Linked DNA regions of Oryzias latipes. The protein of the gene in region 1 binds, or shares a complex with, the protein of each later gene. Links are inferred from orthologs where the notes say so. Each region holds a gene or a part of one and is shown on either strand. Other genes may lie near its edges.

Evidence for each region. Proteins that work in one complex are often made in the same cells at the same time.
Region 2: med25 (region 1) and med18 share a complex: the UniProt entries of both Homo sapiens proteins name them as parts of the mediator complex. The link is inferred for Oryzias latipes from reciprocal best matches to the Homo sapiens genes MED25 and MED18.

Annotation. Positions count from the first base shown.
Region 1 is NC_019866.2:3,604,257-3,612,157, forward strand, and holds the start of med25 (mediator of RNA polymerase II transcription subunit 25), read right to left. Parts: upstream 4,090-7,901; 5' UTR 3,944-4,089; intron 3,391-3,943; 5' UTR 3,382-3,390; coding exon 3,257-3,381; intron 3,174-3,256; coding exon 3,128-3,173; intron 3,034-3,127; coding exon 2,909-3,033; intron 2,816-2,908; coding exon 2,717-2,815; intron 1,685-2,716; coding exon 1,564-1,684; intron 84-1,563; coding exon 1-83. UniProt on the Homo sapiens protein: Component of the Mediator complex, a coactivator involved in the regulated transcription of nearly all RNA polymerase II-dependent genes.
Region 2 is NC_019874.2:22,762,126-22,770,058, forward strand, and holds med18 (mediator of RNA polymerase II transcription subunit 18), read right to left. Parts: upstream 4,870-7,933; 5' UTR 4,513-4,869; intron 4,036-4,512; 5' UTR 4,029-4,035; coding exon 3,956-4,028; intron 3,237-3,955; coding exon 2,680-3,236; 3' UTR 2,571-2,679; downstream 1-2,570. UniProt on the Homo sapiens protein: Component of the Mediator complex, a coactivator involved in the regulated transcription of nearly all RNA polymerase II-dependent genes.

The DNA of each region.
Region 1 (7,901 bases):
CCGTTCAGCGGTGACGCTCTTTCAAACAAAGACCTCAGAGCGGGGAGCTTTCGAGGCGCCACCACAGAAAAGTGGATTCCTCTCTAAAGAAATATACAACATACATTCAATTAAAAACACCATCACTTCACTCTTTATGCTCTAAATTCTCTTGGGGGGTTAAATAGCTCTGCAGTGTACTAACTAGGATTATGAAGAATAATGTTTAGTCTTTATGTAACAAGTCCGAAAAGTCCTACATACATATTTAATAAACGAGTCTATTTGGCAAATTGTAACATTTATTTTTTATCCTTAGCTTCAGAATTATATTTCTAGAAGCCTAAATGTCCCGCAGTTTCTTTGCACATTTCCCTGTTTACATATTTCATCTTTTTTAATTTGTTAATTAGAAGGGGTTCATCTACTTAAATGATGAATACATTTTTTTTCTAGTCCAAAGAAATCGCTCCGTCTGAGGAAAGTTGCTAACGGAATCAACCGACAGCATTTTAAGACAGTTTCAAAATGAAATAAACCGATTTTATCGATAATGGAAAACGCCATTTGGGTTGAGGCGCAGTAGGTTGATGTGCATCACTGCAGACAACACACATGTGACGACGATCATTCCAGTCCAATGTGTGGAAACACTTTGAAATTACTAAAGTCATGTGACCAAACAGTGTCTAGAATGTTCTAATCTTGTTCCCTTTGGATTCTTTGGATGTGGAAAAACAACAGTCGGCTGAACTTTAGGAAACTCAAATGTGAATGGATTTGCCAATAATTCTTGTTTACTTGTTTGTTTGTACTCATATTTAATTGACACTTGATTATCTTGAATATTGACTAAATTGTTTCAGCAAATCCGCAAACTGAGAGGGCAGCTTGGGTTGTTTCTTTAGTTATTTGCTACTTTCACAACCGTTTTCTTTGCTGTCCACTTTTCTTCCCATTGGTTAATCAGCTTCATGAACTCGTACAAAATAAATTTATTTTACTTTGATTCTTTTTAGTTAAAAACAAAAACAAAAAAAAAACACACACAAAACAACGGAATGAACTGCGTCGCATTTATAAGACAGACCCTGTCAACCCATCGGCTCCTCAGAAAGCTTCAGTAGGAAAGTCGCCTCAACAATATTAGAAAGTTTTGCTTTCACAGCCTCATGGATGTGAAAGTCAGTGTAAAAATATTGTAATAGAATGACAGCAATTGAAATTGCATTGAGATTTTCTTCTTTTTGGTTTGTAGTTGTAAAATATTCTTAAAAGAATGCTGTTCAGACAGACTAAACAATTGGTTTGAATGAGAAGATATTAATTCCTATTCAAAAAAATCTATTTCAAATATAATATATTGTGACAATAATTGGAAAAACTGAAGATTTGAAAACAATTCTGGGGAGGGAAATCTTAGGACATCATCGCTTAGACTAGTTAGTTGGACGGTCAATTTGATGGACGGATTAATTCATTGAAAATTCCCCCTTAAATCTGAAATATTCCCATAATAAAAAAGGAGAAATGCCACAACTCATAGAACTGAACAAAATTAAAAACCACAGTAGAAAAACTCACATCTCTGATGATTTTGGCCAGGCTTTCCGCTGTGCATCCGGTGTAGCTGACGCTCTCCACAGCAGGAAGCAGATACGGAGGAGAATTACACAGAAGCACGCAGACCTTATGTGTTTGACCTCTGCAGTGACACACGCAGACAGAAACAAGAACAATGACTGTTAAAAATCCTTCACAGTATGTTTAGAATACTGTAAAAGTCAACATCAGACATTGGAAGTCTACGTTCTCCCCATTTACCGTGAAAAAAACTTGTTTAGACAAAACTTAAAAAGTAGTCAGTGATGTCTTAAGCAGGGATCTGCAACACGAGGCTCCAGAGCCAAACTGCTCCATTCTGGCTCTTTGGTTGTGATAAATATCGTAGCATTGATTTAAATGTAGTTTCTTAGATTTTTGGCTAAAATGCTCCTATAACAATAAAAAATGAAAACGGCCTTATGTTTCTCCCAGAATGCACACATTTCAAACACTCAGCAAATTACATGTGTTCTTAAAAACATTGTAATCCTTTAAGTATGTTTATTATTGGGATATACTTAAAACAAATTATGTTACGCTGCAAAATAATGTTTAATAACTGCCCAGAGGGGGAAAGAGAAAGACATGTATATACTTTTATACATGGCTCTCAGACCATGATATTTATCTTCAGGTTATATTACTAAGCTTGGAAAAGGGCGATGACACACCAAAGTAGACTTATATAAAACAAAAGAAAAAGCCTTTGTTGATTTACATTGTATAACATTTTCTTTGAAGTATATTTACGGCAGCAGATGTGTCTTTATTTTTTTAAAAGTGTCCACTTTTCTCAGGAGGAAAAAACAAATTCATGTGAATTGAATAAAATGCTATCATTTATTTTTTCCCTATTGTTTTTATTTAAGTCAAAATAGCTTAATTAATATATATATATCAAAAAAAGAAAGCAACAAATACAAAGGAGTTTTGAATTTTTCTAGAGGGTGAAACAAGACTTCGGAGCTGCTGCTGTTTTTGTCAATGGGAAACTGGCCTGAATGGCTTTTTTAGTGTTAAAGGTTGCAGACCCTGGTTTAAACAAAAGTTAGGGAGCTAAAATGTACTTTAACTTTTATTTTAATAAACACAGAACAATGTTTTAAACATCTTAGACGAAATGATACCTTACATTTGCTCCCTCATTTTTTTAAAGTCGTCAAAGAGCTGCAAGGCCACAGAAAGGCCTTCTGCAATCAGGCTGCAGCTTTCTGCTCCACCACCCATGAACCTGCAGGAAAACACCCATCACATCTTTCAAGAAATTCATGGGAGTTTTAGACAAGATCCCTATCTGCTTTTTTAATAAATGTAGCCAAGTTACTGGATGCTGTCGATCCATGAAACAAACTCGTAGGCAGAGCTGGTTGGTGCGTGACACTGAACGTAGGATTCAGGAGCACAGTCCACTGTGTTGAACACCACCAGACCATACTGTGTTCCACCATACTAGGAAGAAAAACAGATGTCACTTATTATTACAAAACGGGACTAAAATAGTTTAAAAAACTGAAATACTAACAAAAACAGAAATTACACTCACGTCTCCACCAAAATCTGTTTCTGCTGGGGGCCCTCCATTAAAATATCTAGAAAAAAAGAAATAAGATATTTACTGTTTTAATGTATGAGCAGCTCACTCTGTAAAGTCTGCACATCTTCTGCTTCTTACTCAATAGCTGGAAGGATGTAGTTTTTTCTCAGTGATTCAAAGTACGGTCCCAGGTTTGCCGTCCCTTCGATGACAAAAACCACATCGGCCACCTGGTTGGAGCCAGGTTTACTGGGCGGCTCCATGTCCACAACCTGGACGTGTGGGAGACACGGGAAAAGGGGAAATAAGGGTGGTATCATGGAGCAAAACACACAAAATACTTTATTTTCCTCTACAGGCGGTACTTGGTGAAATATTAATATATAAACATGTGTGATGATTATTTCAATGAAATTCAAGCTTTGAAATGTCACAATTAATGGATTCTCTAACCATCAGACAGAGTGAGCATCTAAAATGTTTCTCTTCATCACATCTTCATTATGTGTTAACTTGAAATAAAACGTCATGATTTGGCATATTGTAAACAATTTAAAAACGGAGAGCAGGAACAAACAAACAAAGCCGTGTGTGTGTACCGTTTGTTTAAAATGTCTCTCTAGCTTAAAACATGACAACGAATAATCTAACAATTCAACTATGATTATTATTAATTACGCGTTTATGTAACTGAGGCAGTTTATGAAAAGGAAACCACCGGCTGTAAACATTAGCCGGCTTAGCAAGCATGGAAAAAAGACTAAATAAATAATACGACTGGAAAAGCCTTTACTGTAATTCAAGAAGAAATGAGACACAACTAACCTGATAGTGAACACCTATTATTCCTTAAATATGAGATTTACTAAACCGAAATATAGGCAGTTGTTTACAAAAAAAAATTAAACCATAGCACAAAACCGCATATACGTTTGTTTTATTTTACAAGGAAGTGACGCAATGAAAATTCAATGGAGACGCTTCCTCTTCGTTGAATATAATGTGCAGATAGGATGTCTCTGAGCGCACTGCTGCCCCCTAGCGTTGAGTCATTCCTAGTGAAACAGCACTGTGGTAATAAATAAATAAAATATAAATAAATTAATAATAATAATAGTAATAATAATAAAATGAAAATCCCATGTAAAAGAGACCAAATTGCGCTTTATTTTCAATCATTTGGTAACAACGAGGTGTTGCTGAAATAACTGGTAAAAACAATAAAGTTCTTTTTTGGCGTAATAATAAGAGAAGCTATTTGTTAATAGATTTTAAAGTTATTATTCCAGATTTTTATTTTAGGTAATGTGTAAGTCAAACCAGTAAAGTCCTCTATGTTCATTTTCACCATATATCAGTGATAAATGAGATTTTTGAAGTCATAACCATTTTAATGTCTTTTCAACAGCAGGTAACTATGAAGTTCACTATAATGCGAATAAAACCTTTAGATTCAGATTAGCCAGCTACATACATTTAAGCTTCAATTGGACCAATTAATGCTTAGAGTTTTCAGCTCTGAATTCAGTTCAAACCTTATAACCAAATGCATTTCAATAAAGTGGTTACCTTTTGGAATAGTCAGAAGAAATATGTGCTTCTGGATGAGCCTAAAACAATAAAAACATTGGAGGCAGAATGAGCAGAGGACCAACAGGAAGTTCCAAAATTAATTAATTTTGATGTTTTCCAATTAATTAACTGCATTGTGAAATAATAGGTACAATCTGTCTTCAGAATTATGAAAAACAAACAGTTGTTTTTCACATTTGTTGAGGATTTTATTTCAGATGTGAAACAGAGCCGGATGCAGAAAAAATCCAGATGTTGATGATCCACATCTCCAGGAGATGTCAGCAGATCTCCACAGTGCAAAGAGAGAAGACATCAGAATTACAGTGGAGAAGATGCAAGCGTGCATTTGATACTAGCTCTAATGATGTCTGCAAAAGAAAATTCAGATTTTTTGTTTGTTTTTGTTTTTGCATCTTGTTTAAATATGTAAATTTACAGGCCAAACTTGGTGTTCTGCTCCACACGCTTTTGAGCTTTTGTTATACAGATTTTTTCTTTTTTCAAAAGTGTAATTTGATTTTGGTTACTTAACAAAAAAAGGAGTTTATTTACACCAAGCTTGATTAATGTTGTTAAAAAGTGAGCTCAGGCAGACAAGAAACAGGCCTGTAGAAAAATGCCAGACATTTAAGGATAAAACTTATTCCTGCCCATGTGTTTTTGTACCGAGAAAGGTAAAATTTAATGACCTGTTTGTGGTAGAACTTGTGTCTTTAACACATTGATGTAGTTTGTGTGGTCGGTTTAATGGCTTCCGCTCCCTTGTGACAAAAGCCAGTAAGCTGAACGTTCAGCTTAGAGGCTTCAGAGCTCATCAAACTCAAAACCCTCCCACAGACACAATGATCCATATCAATTCAGCCCAAATTCTGAGAAGGAAAACAAGCTGTGCGCCCAAGCAGCTTCGCCTTTTGGGTGTCAAAAAGCAGGGCTGCTTATGGCGGCTTAAGTAAAGTTGATCTGGAGAGGGTTTAAGCCCGTGGCTATCCACGACCTGCAAACATTTAGCTCCCCACGGATCTTTTATCCTGACAGTGAAACATGGCCAAATTAAAGTGGCAGGAAGGATTGCATGCACAGGAAGCTCTTTACTTTGCAGCTCTGATGCTTTTCTTGGAGACATTTTGTGCTTATTGTTGTCTTAAACTTTAGCACACACATGGCAAGCAGTTGCCAAGCAATTACAGAGCGCCGGCTCTCTGGGTGTGCCTTTAGAAAGACACACACTGCTTCCTTTTTTCCCCGTTGTTGGTCAGAAATCAATAATCTGAATGCAGAAATGTGGTTCTTTAAAACTCCACGTCTGCAGGCGGCTTTGATAAGACAATCTGTCTCCTGACCATTTTACCTGACCTACTGGGACTCTGGGCCAGATGGTCTTCTCACAACAGGTAATCACAGGCTGCTTGCTGATGCACTTTGATCCGCACAAATGGGTAAGCACAACAAAGCACACCTTTTGGGAACCGTAAGCCCCACTGCCATCAGCAGCAGCTGTTTTTCTAATTTATACGACATTTTTTCCCCGTTATTTATATGAAATTCCTAAAATCCCTGCCCAAGTCTTTCTTTGTGTGTAAAACACCCTTCAGAATAAAAGCACAACAACAATATAACAAAAGTATGAGTTCACAACCGTTTTCTTTGCTGTCTACTTTGCTGTCTTTATATAGAATACCAAGTAATTACTAAGTAATTTCATTATTGCAATTGTCAGAAAATTCAGAATCTTAAATATAGTTCTCAACCTATTGGAACACTTAACATTTGTGGTTTATTTTGAAAGAAATGAAAAAGGTGCAGCTCAAGTTTGCAGATCTGCTTATAAAGTACATGTCAAACACCAGAAACCAAATGTTCCAGGCACTAAAGTGGAGAGGAAAATGGAAATGTAAAAAAACCCAAAATCAAACAAAAAATCTTCTTATATGGATGGATTATATTTGTAGTCTTTTTAAAAAAATATGAACAGTGTGTATCAGAGAATTCTAGACTCTCATTTTTTTTTTTTGATTCCATCAGAGTTACTAAATAAAATCAAACTAACAAAAAGAGTCTGGACTTGAACAGAACGCAGAAACCAAACTGAATGCATGAAAAGCAACAGGAATTCAAACAAGATGATCATTTACCAATACACAAAATGATAACTTCAAGAGAAGGCTGAAAACTGTAAAATCATGGAGTGCTTTCAATTATTTACAGGCTCATTCTGCTTTTTGACCTACTTTTTGTTGAATTTGATAGATCTGTTGTGTTGGAATCGTTCTGAATTCTAGTGAGGACAAAAATGTTTGTATCACGACCTAAGAATAACAAGGGCTGAGAGGTTTGGTGTGATTTTCGAGGAGCAAAATTGATTTTTTAATCTCACCTGAGACTAGTTCAGCGAGTTGATGCCAAGTTGTTCCTCGGAAGTGCTTAAAAGAGAAGGTCATATCCGGAGGCTCAGCTCTTTTATGAGCATGCAGGCCTCCTGCAGAGGCGAGCGGCTTCTCGTGCATTCAGTTCACATAAAGAGTTTTGGGGGTAATTTTATGTTTTTGGAATCAAACCCGTATAGTGACTTCCTGCTGATTTTACTATGATAAAAGATGAGGACTTGTCAGTTTCCAGGTGATGAATTTCCACCTGTTTCTTCATGACAAAAGAGCAGTTTTGGTTTCTACAGATGGTCCTGTCGGAAAAACAGCAACACCAAAGCATCCCCTGAAGCTGCGGCAGTCATTTAAGCGATGCAGTGGGAGGCAATTATCATCATGCATTGCAATCATATATTAGCATTAAGAGTTTATGCCCGGCTGTCAGCTGCTGGATACCTTCAGACGAATGCCGTCAGCCTGACAGAAGCAGCTCTGTTTTCTACACACCACCCCCAGAGTGTAAGCCCCCCCCCCCCCTCCGCCTCTTTCAGCTCACTGAACTGAGTGAAATGTCTTTCTGAGTAAATTATTTTTTTTATTTCTATTTTTTTTGCTCTGTGGGAAAGTTGCCATGGAGACAGCAGCCCTCCCCCCTCCTCCTCTCTCAGTCTACAGCATTAAGGCCATGCTAACTAGCGCCTCGTCACGTCTGCACGTGTGTGTTTTGCTCCTCTTCAATTGTTAACATGCTGCAGGTCGCCCCTGTGATGAGTGTGTCTATAAACAGAACTGTCCTCCTCCACCTCGACTCTTCGCACACGTCCTGCATGCACCCATCTCCTCTC
Region 2 (7,933 bases), on another chromosome or scaffold:
TGAATGTCAAGAGAAACAAAACTGCTGGGATTGGAGAGGAACCAGACAGAGGGGAGGAAGGGTGAGGCGCTCGGTCCCCTCTGGGCTGACTCTGACGTTGTCCCCCATACCAGACATTCCACAGGCAGCGTAGCTGGCTTCAAGCTCTGAGTGGCTGACCCTGGAACAGCATGTTGTGCATAGCAATGATCATCTCTGTGAGCCACAAGGGAGGCAGATCACCACATGAACAAGTCACAGCTTTGCATTTCGTCAAGTTGGAGGGTGTCAAATTGTGTTGGAATCTTGTTCAAAGAACAGGGGCTTTTTTTTTGTAAGGCCCATCCTGATTCCTTTGGTCACAAACTTAATATTCTTTCAAATGTGTCTCTGTGAGCCATTGTCTTCTAAAGTATCCTGAGAAACCACAAGGACACCCTTGGGAAAGGATGTCTGCCTGCAAAAGCTCCTCCCCTCCCAGCGCACAACCCACGCTGTCTAACAAGACCAAGGGTTCCCAATTACACAGGAAGAAGGCTCAATTCTTCGCTTTCGCAACAATGGACTCTGGAGGTGAAGCTTGATTTCAGCCCCTCTGTGGCATTGGCCCAAAGAAATCTGACTTAAAGACTTCCTCCCTGGAGCAACTGCCAACTTTCTACGGCATCTTGGCATCTGCAACTATGAACATTATGTTCAGAAGCAAGGAGAAGATGGGTGCCAAGAGTTTTAATTAAGACTGTTTTGTAAAATGGGAAATATAGGCATGTGCAGGTAATGACTTCCATTCCCATTCGAAGGTCTAACACAATATGATTAACGCTATCTGCCTTAGCCAATTAATTAAAGCAACAGCTAAAAATGCAGAGCAACCAAATGGCCCAGAGAGGGAAACCAATGTGCAACGTCTCTCATTCCCACAACGGAAGCAGGATTAACTGTAGAAAAAAAGATGTCAAAACACATGGTGGCTCTAATATTTCTGTACAAATTCTGTACGACAAAACAATAAAAACATGCATGTACAGTAATGCCATCTACTCTGCAACATAATGATGCAAACAAATGCTGTCAACGTATTCAATACATAAAGGTGGTTTTCTTGAAATTTATTCTCACTTTTCAAGAGCGAAATATCAAATCTGATCAGCTAAAAGAACAACAAATGATGGGAAACTAAGATGAAAATAAAGAGCTGGTATGACAAAAATATATTTTTGGTGGACCAACTTGCATATGGTCTTCTGCAAAGAGTTAAATCCTTTACTTATGTGGCTGGCAACATCCACAAAACCATGTAGGCCTGATGCCAAGATGCTGATTATCCTAGCTATGCTTCTGCTCTCTAGGCAACGTGGAGGTGTAGAGGGACTCACAAAAGAGCACTGTGCTAAACACAAGTTTAAGTGGAAGAAAGCCAGTAGACTGTAGTGTATCCATGCTGGACATATCAAGCCTTAGGCAAGGAGGCATCTCCCTCTTTAATATATAATTCACTCAGAGCTGAAAAACTATGCTCCAGTCCTTGGAGCCAGTAGTCTGTTTGTGGTTGTTGGAACATCAATAGATAATTTACTCTGACGCTAACTTTTGTCTGCCATCTTTGTCAGATATTCAACTAAATGATGCTCAGACTAAAATGGTCACTATAAGTTAAAGTTTTTTTTTTTTTTTTTTTTAAAAAGGGGGATTAGGGTACTGGAGGTTCAAAAGTGCGGCTTTCTTTCAGTGTGCTCTAAACGCATGTGGAAGCAATGCCACCTCACCTTTCCACCTCAGTGAGCTTGTCCTCATCAGCCTTGAAATGCAGGTAGGTCAACATGCAGAGACAGGCATCAGCCCCGGAGCTGTCCGCTCAGACATGCACATGGTCACTCTACATCTCAACTCCAGCAAATGCATCTTCCTGCAAGGGTATTATTAGAAACAATCTTGTCTTTTTGCCAACATTATTATCATAACTGACAGGATGTGCATTAGTTACTTCCGCCTCTGCAGTAGCTTGGCCATGTTGACACACTAATATACAACCCCCTTTTTCCAATTTCAACATGAGCAATGAAGGACCTAAGGCAACCATAGTGCTTTCACTTGTAATAGTCCCAGCTCAAGTTCCCATGAAAAAAAGAAAGGATACTAATGGGTTAACAGTAGAAATGAAAGGGGAAGAGAGGGAAAATCAATGCTTTTGTGGAAAGGAAGAAAGAAAGGCTTTCACAGGTCTATGTATCATTAAGCAATTGAGAAAGCTAATTAGAGTGGGGTAAACGATGTGCAGATCGCACAGCTAATTATTTCCATGGCAACCAGAGCTCCTGTAGATGATGAGAGGTAGCGTTCACTTTGCTCCAATTAAGACCATCCTTGTGGAAAGAGAGACCCCTGGTGGACATTTATTATATAAAAAAATGAAATTGAAGATTTAAAAAAAAATTTTTAAAGCAATAACATAAGCCATCTGAGGCATTGCAAAATGTTTGTCAACTTAAAATATATTTAAGTATTTTCCAGCTATTTGTTACTATAATATTTTCTTTATAGTAGGCACAAAAAGTAAAAAATAAATTAAAAAAATACTCTGACAGGTCAGATTAACCACAACTGTAACAGTTTAAGCAAAGTAAATCTGTATTTCATCACATTAAAAAGCATTTAAATGGAAAGGAAAACAATAACAAAAACATTTTTTTCCATTAATGCTTAATGTCTCTGCTTGCTTGGGTCAATCTTCTCCAGATGAATCAGAGGTTTGAGCTGCTCGGCAAAGCTGCGCATGTCTTCTGACACGGTGTCCTGTCCGGCCGGAGCCAAAATGCTCAGTTCCACTAAATACGACAGCGACATTCGCTCTGTATTTTCCGTGTTCCCTGGTACTAGGATGCGTGAAACCTTGCTAACCACAACTTTCATTGCTCCTTTGCGAAATATGTGACCACTGGCCACAAACTCATGGTCCATGCGAAAGCCCATCTCATTGAGGAACTCCGGAAGGCTTTGAGAGGCAGCTACATCGACACAGTTGCGAACCAGAGCATGGCGGCTCTTGTCTCCCACTTCTGGCTGGCCTAGATACCGCAGGTGCCATGGAGAAGTAGGGTGGGAGAGGGAGCGTCTGGCACGCAGAATGAAGGGGTTGCCTTGCTGGCCTTTCAAAAGGTAAACCAGCTCGTGGTCGGTGAAAGTCTCTGGTTCCATGTTGTCACAGAGACCACGCAGGCGATGCAGGAGGCTTTCCAGAGCCTGATCCAAAACACTGCCTGAAAAAAACGAGAAAATAGAATATCCTTTAAAGACTCATATAGTAAGTTCTTTACTCCCACTATAATTATTTCCTGCTGTGATACAACTTTTTAAAAATGAATATTAAACATATAATCCTCCATCATGAAATTAAAAAATGTTCAATGTTAAAATTAGTGTTCGTTTTAGATCTCTTTTTTTTACAAACACAGTTTCAATAAACACTTCAGATGTGATGAAAACATGAATAACAGGTTTCATGAATAAAAAAATTTAAAAAAAGCTTTCCTGACTTGAGGATTATTTTTCCATAAATCTTTATGCATCTATATAATCTTAAATACTTCAGTTTACTAAATACAAATGTGTCCAGTAAAGTGCAGCACAAACAGGACAGGAAAACCTTAGAAATATATATTATTTTCAAGACAGAAAGTAACTGAGCACTCTTTCCACACTCTTGACAGTGTGGTTTGCTCTTTAATGCTACACCAACACTCATGATGGAAAAATAATTAGCTCAACTTAATAGTTTTTTTTTAAAGACTAATATTAATGGATAGAAGTTGGTTTTAGCAACAGAATGAAGATGTAAACATTATTTTTCAAATAATTTAGCCAGTGAACTTCATACTGGCTTCTAATATATGTATTCTGGAAAAATACACCGTTTTATCTGTAAATATATCAAGCCTCTATATCTCTGGTTGAACCTTCTATATCTGAATCGTCTCACCTTGTAACAGATATTCCATCATGTTGATGGCACCGCCGGTGACGGGCATAACTGTGACAGGAGGAGCTTCCATCTTCTTCCTGATTTAAAGTAATAGTGAATGATGGCATTGTCATTCACTTAGCAAAAAGTACTACACTTGAAGTTTATTTCATTGAGGACACGTGAGAATAAGTACAAGTGTACGATAGACCATGTGTATATTGTGAAAGAAGTATTAACTGACTGAAAACTTCTTCAGACTAAATTGGAACATTTTATGTTTTGAATTTAGCAATACTAGATTGTGTTTAAAAGTTTACTTCAAGTATATCGTCCCACTAGCCAATTATACATGTAGTAAACTAAATAGGCTACTTTTTGCAAAGTGTTGTTGGACTACTCTATTTCATTTGCAGTTGTTTGATGATACATGTGAGTGACATTACCAATGAATGAATGAGTAAACAGAAAACAGTTGTTAGCTAAATTAGCGAACAAATACAACTACCAATAGCAGGCTTATGCTAACTAGCAAAAGCAGTAGACGTTTCTCACTACAGAGTAAGATGGTTTACCTGAGCAGAATAAAGAGTTCGGCGCAGCGTTAGAACTGACTAAAGTTAAGATATTTTTGCTGTTTGTGGTTGGTTTCCACGGTGGGCCCCCTGTTTCACCGGTTAGCTAATATCCACACGGCTGCTAGTACCAGTTAACAGTTAGCCTACATGGAATTACCAACTCACGATTTGAGCTGTTACTGTCATCAACAAAGTAATTTAAGGCATTCGTACTTAACTTAAAAAATAAAAAAAGTGTTAATGAAATATATATTGTAACCCGTTCTAAAAACAACCAAAATTTGATGCTAATCAGAAAACAAAGGCGCCCAAGTTCTTCCTTGGCTTTTGTTTTTAAAAGGCGCTTTCAATCCAGTTTAAAGCTCGTTACTGCCACCTACTGAAACCCCGGAATATAACCATTCATGGAAGCAACTTTCTGTGTTAGCTTTTTCCGCGCAAACAGGTATTTAGGCAAATGATAAAACAATAAGTACACGTTGAATACACTTATTGAACTTAAATTTTAGCAATGTAGAAAAAGGATCAATTACAGTAACCCAAACAGGGGTTACTTTAAAAATACAATCCATAAATAACATTTTTTTAAAAATCAACTTCAAGTCATTTGATTTACAAAAACACTCACAAACCAAAACGTGCTCTAAAAATTGAAACTATTATCAGTGCAGATAAGTAACTAAATGTATTTGAAAACCTTGCACATATTTAAAAATAATAAAAATATATATGTAGATTTCATACCGAAAATGTTGTAATAGTAATTGCTGGCACATAAAAAAATAAAAGCCTAGCTCTGTGGGCCTTTTTTTTAAAACTCAGATGCTGTCTTCACAACAATTACAATATTTTTACAATTAGTTTTTGTTAAATATTTTCTTTTTAAAACATTGAATAAAACATTTAAAATTCAGACATGCTGCTATAGTTTTTGGCTGATTGAGGTTCACAAACTTTTTTAAGATTTGTGCTTAACCTTTTAAAGTAAATGACAAACATTCCATCAGATGCATATTTTACACATAAAATAATAAAGATATAAAAACTGTGTTTTGACGGATTCCGAAGCCTTTAAAGAAAAAATATTTAACAAAATTTGTGTCAGAAAAAATAATGGTTCAGAATAATTTAAAGGAACTTGTTTTCTGTTTTCAAAGCACTTGCTGACAGTATCAGGTACAGACACAAAGCAATGCTATATTTCATAAAGATAATTAGCAAGCAGTTATTCATTTTCTGACACAATGGAAAAAACCCTTCTAAGGGTTTCCATTTTGGACCTTGTAGGGTGAAGTTTACTTCAACTCACAAAACAGAATCCATGTTAAGGCAACTTCAGAACTGCTAAAATATCGCAACAATTACCTGCTCAACCTATCCAAACTGCTTTTTGTGAATTTTATTTCACTGTAAATGGTTTCATTGTGGGCTAATTCACGGCCATTGGTCTTTGCAGGGGTTCTAAAGGCAATTAAGGAATAAACAATGGAGGGTTCTTCTTCCACCTGCAAATAAAGAAATAATGATTAGTGGAAAATGATTAGTAAATGATTAGTCACTTTATGATTTGTGGAAAATGTAAAGGATTATTACTCACACTTGTCCGTCTTCTGAAAACACAGCAAGTGCAAAGCAAAGGAAATGCTAGAGGGTGAACATAGAAAAGGTGTGATGGAGCTGTTAAAACCTCAGGCTCATTAAAACTCTGAAAGTAAAAACCTCAGAATTTGCACCCCAAAGAAAGCAAAAGAAAGAGTTTCTGCTTGGAGAAAAATAACGAACAAAGTAAACGCACGAGTTTCTGATCTTATTTCCAATTACGAAGTGTGTTTTGGATTTAGGCCCCCTCTGCAACTGAGTTTGACCCCCCTGTAATATGAGTCTAGAAAAGTCATGCATTTTTGTGTGTAAAATTAGCGAATAAAAATGGGGCACACAAAAGGATGTCGTCAAATTGTGTTTGTGTGTGTGTGTGGGGAGGGGCTAGGAAATTTTTAGCAAACAGGTCCTGTGGCGCCCTTCAGACCACTTAGTGCCCATGAAATAGCCCTCAGTCTCAAAAAGGTTGGTGACCCCTGCTGTACAGGTACCAAAAACAAAATGTACTTTAAAGAGTTAATCAAAAGCTCCAAGTTAAATGGTTGACTTGCACGGAATTACCTGCTTGTCCAGAACGATGTAGAAATGTAGAAAGGGCGGCCGTGGTGCAGCGGTAGGGCGGTCGACCCATGATCGTAATATTGCAGGTTCGATTCCCGCCTTGCACGCCCATGAGTCGAAGTGTCCTTGGGCAAGACACTGAACCCCACCTTGCCTCTGGGGGTAGGCGGGCGCCTGTGTTTGGCAGCGGAGCCGCCACCAGTGTGTGAATGTGTGTGTGAATGTGCGTGTGACTGGGTGAATGGGTCTGTGACTGTAAAGCGCTTTGTCCTTGTAGGAAGAAAGGCGCTATATAAGTATACGCCATTTACCAAATCCTGGACTGTGCCCTTCTTTGTACCAATTGCAAGCAGATAGGGTTGAGTGGAGCTGTCGATGTCATCAACAGGTTCTTGAACGCTTGTTCCACTCTGAAGATGAAAAAGATCAAACAATAACAATTCCAAGGAGCTGCATTTCAAGGATAAAAATTGAACTTAAAGGGGAATAATTGTCAAAAAAAGAAGGAAATGATCAAAGTTGACCACAATAAAAGTGAAAACGACACAATAACAAAAAAGATCTTTTTATGAAAAATGCCAGAGCCGGGTATCGAACCCGCAAGCTTCTGCACCAAAGAAAGAAGCAAAGAAAAGTTCAAAGATTTGAAAGACCAAAAGTCATAACAGGAAAAAGCTGAAAGATTTGAACATTTTAATAGTTGAATAGTTGAAATGTTCAAAGCTGAAAGATGTGAACATTTTAATAGTTGAATGGTTAAAATAGCGGAAAAATTGTAGGAGTTAAGTACCAAAAAACGTCGGAAGATACTAGAATAAAGAAAGAGAAACAGGAAAACAATGGGTTGAATAAATTAATGCATTCAACCAATTAACTTTATTTAATTATGCTTAAATATTATGATCAGGAAAAACAAGCGCATTTTCCTCAAACTACCCAAGCAAATTTCTGATCACCCCACCTGTCTCAGAAGGGAGTGAGGAAAGAAAGCACACGACAATATACTAATTAACTTTAATACCAACCTTCTTGAAGACAAGATGTTTCTCAGCTTGAGATGCGGAAACCTTGCCTGGCCTTTTGCTCCCCTGGCTGTTGGAGAAATCAGGTGAAGCAGGAGAATGACTGAAGATAAATCACTGTCCCATCCTGTACAAATATAAAAAGTTGATTACGTAATGGCAGACCTGTACATTTCAACAGCAGTCTTTAGGCAATCTTTAAGTTAAAAACAGCTGGTTGAAGTGCTACAAAAAAA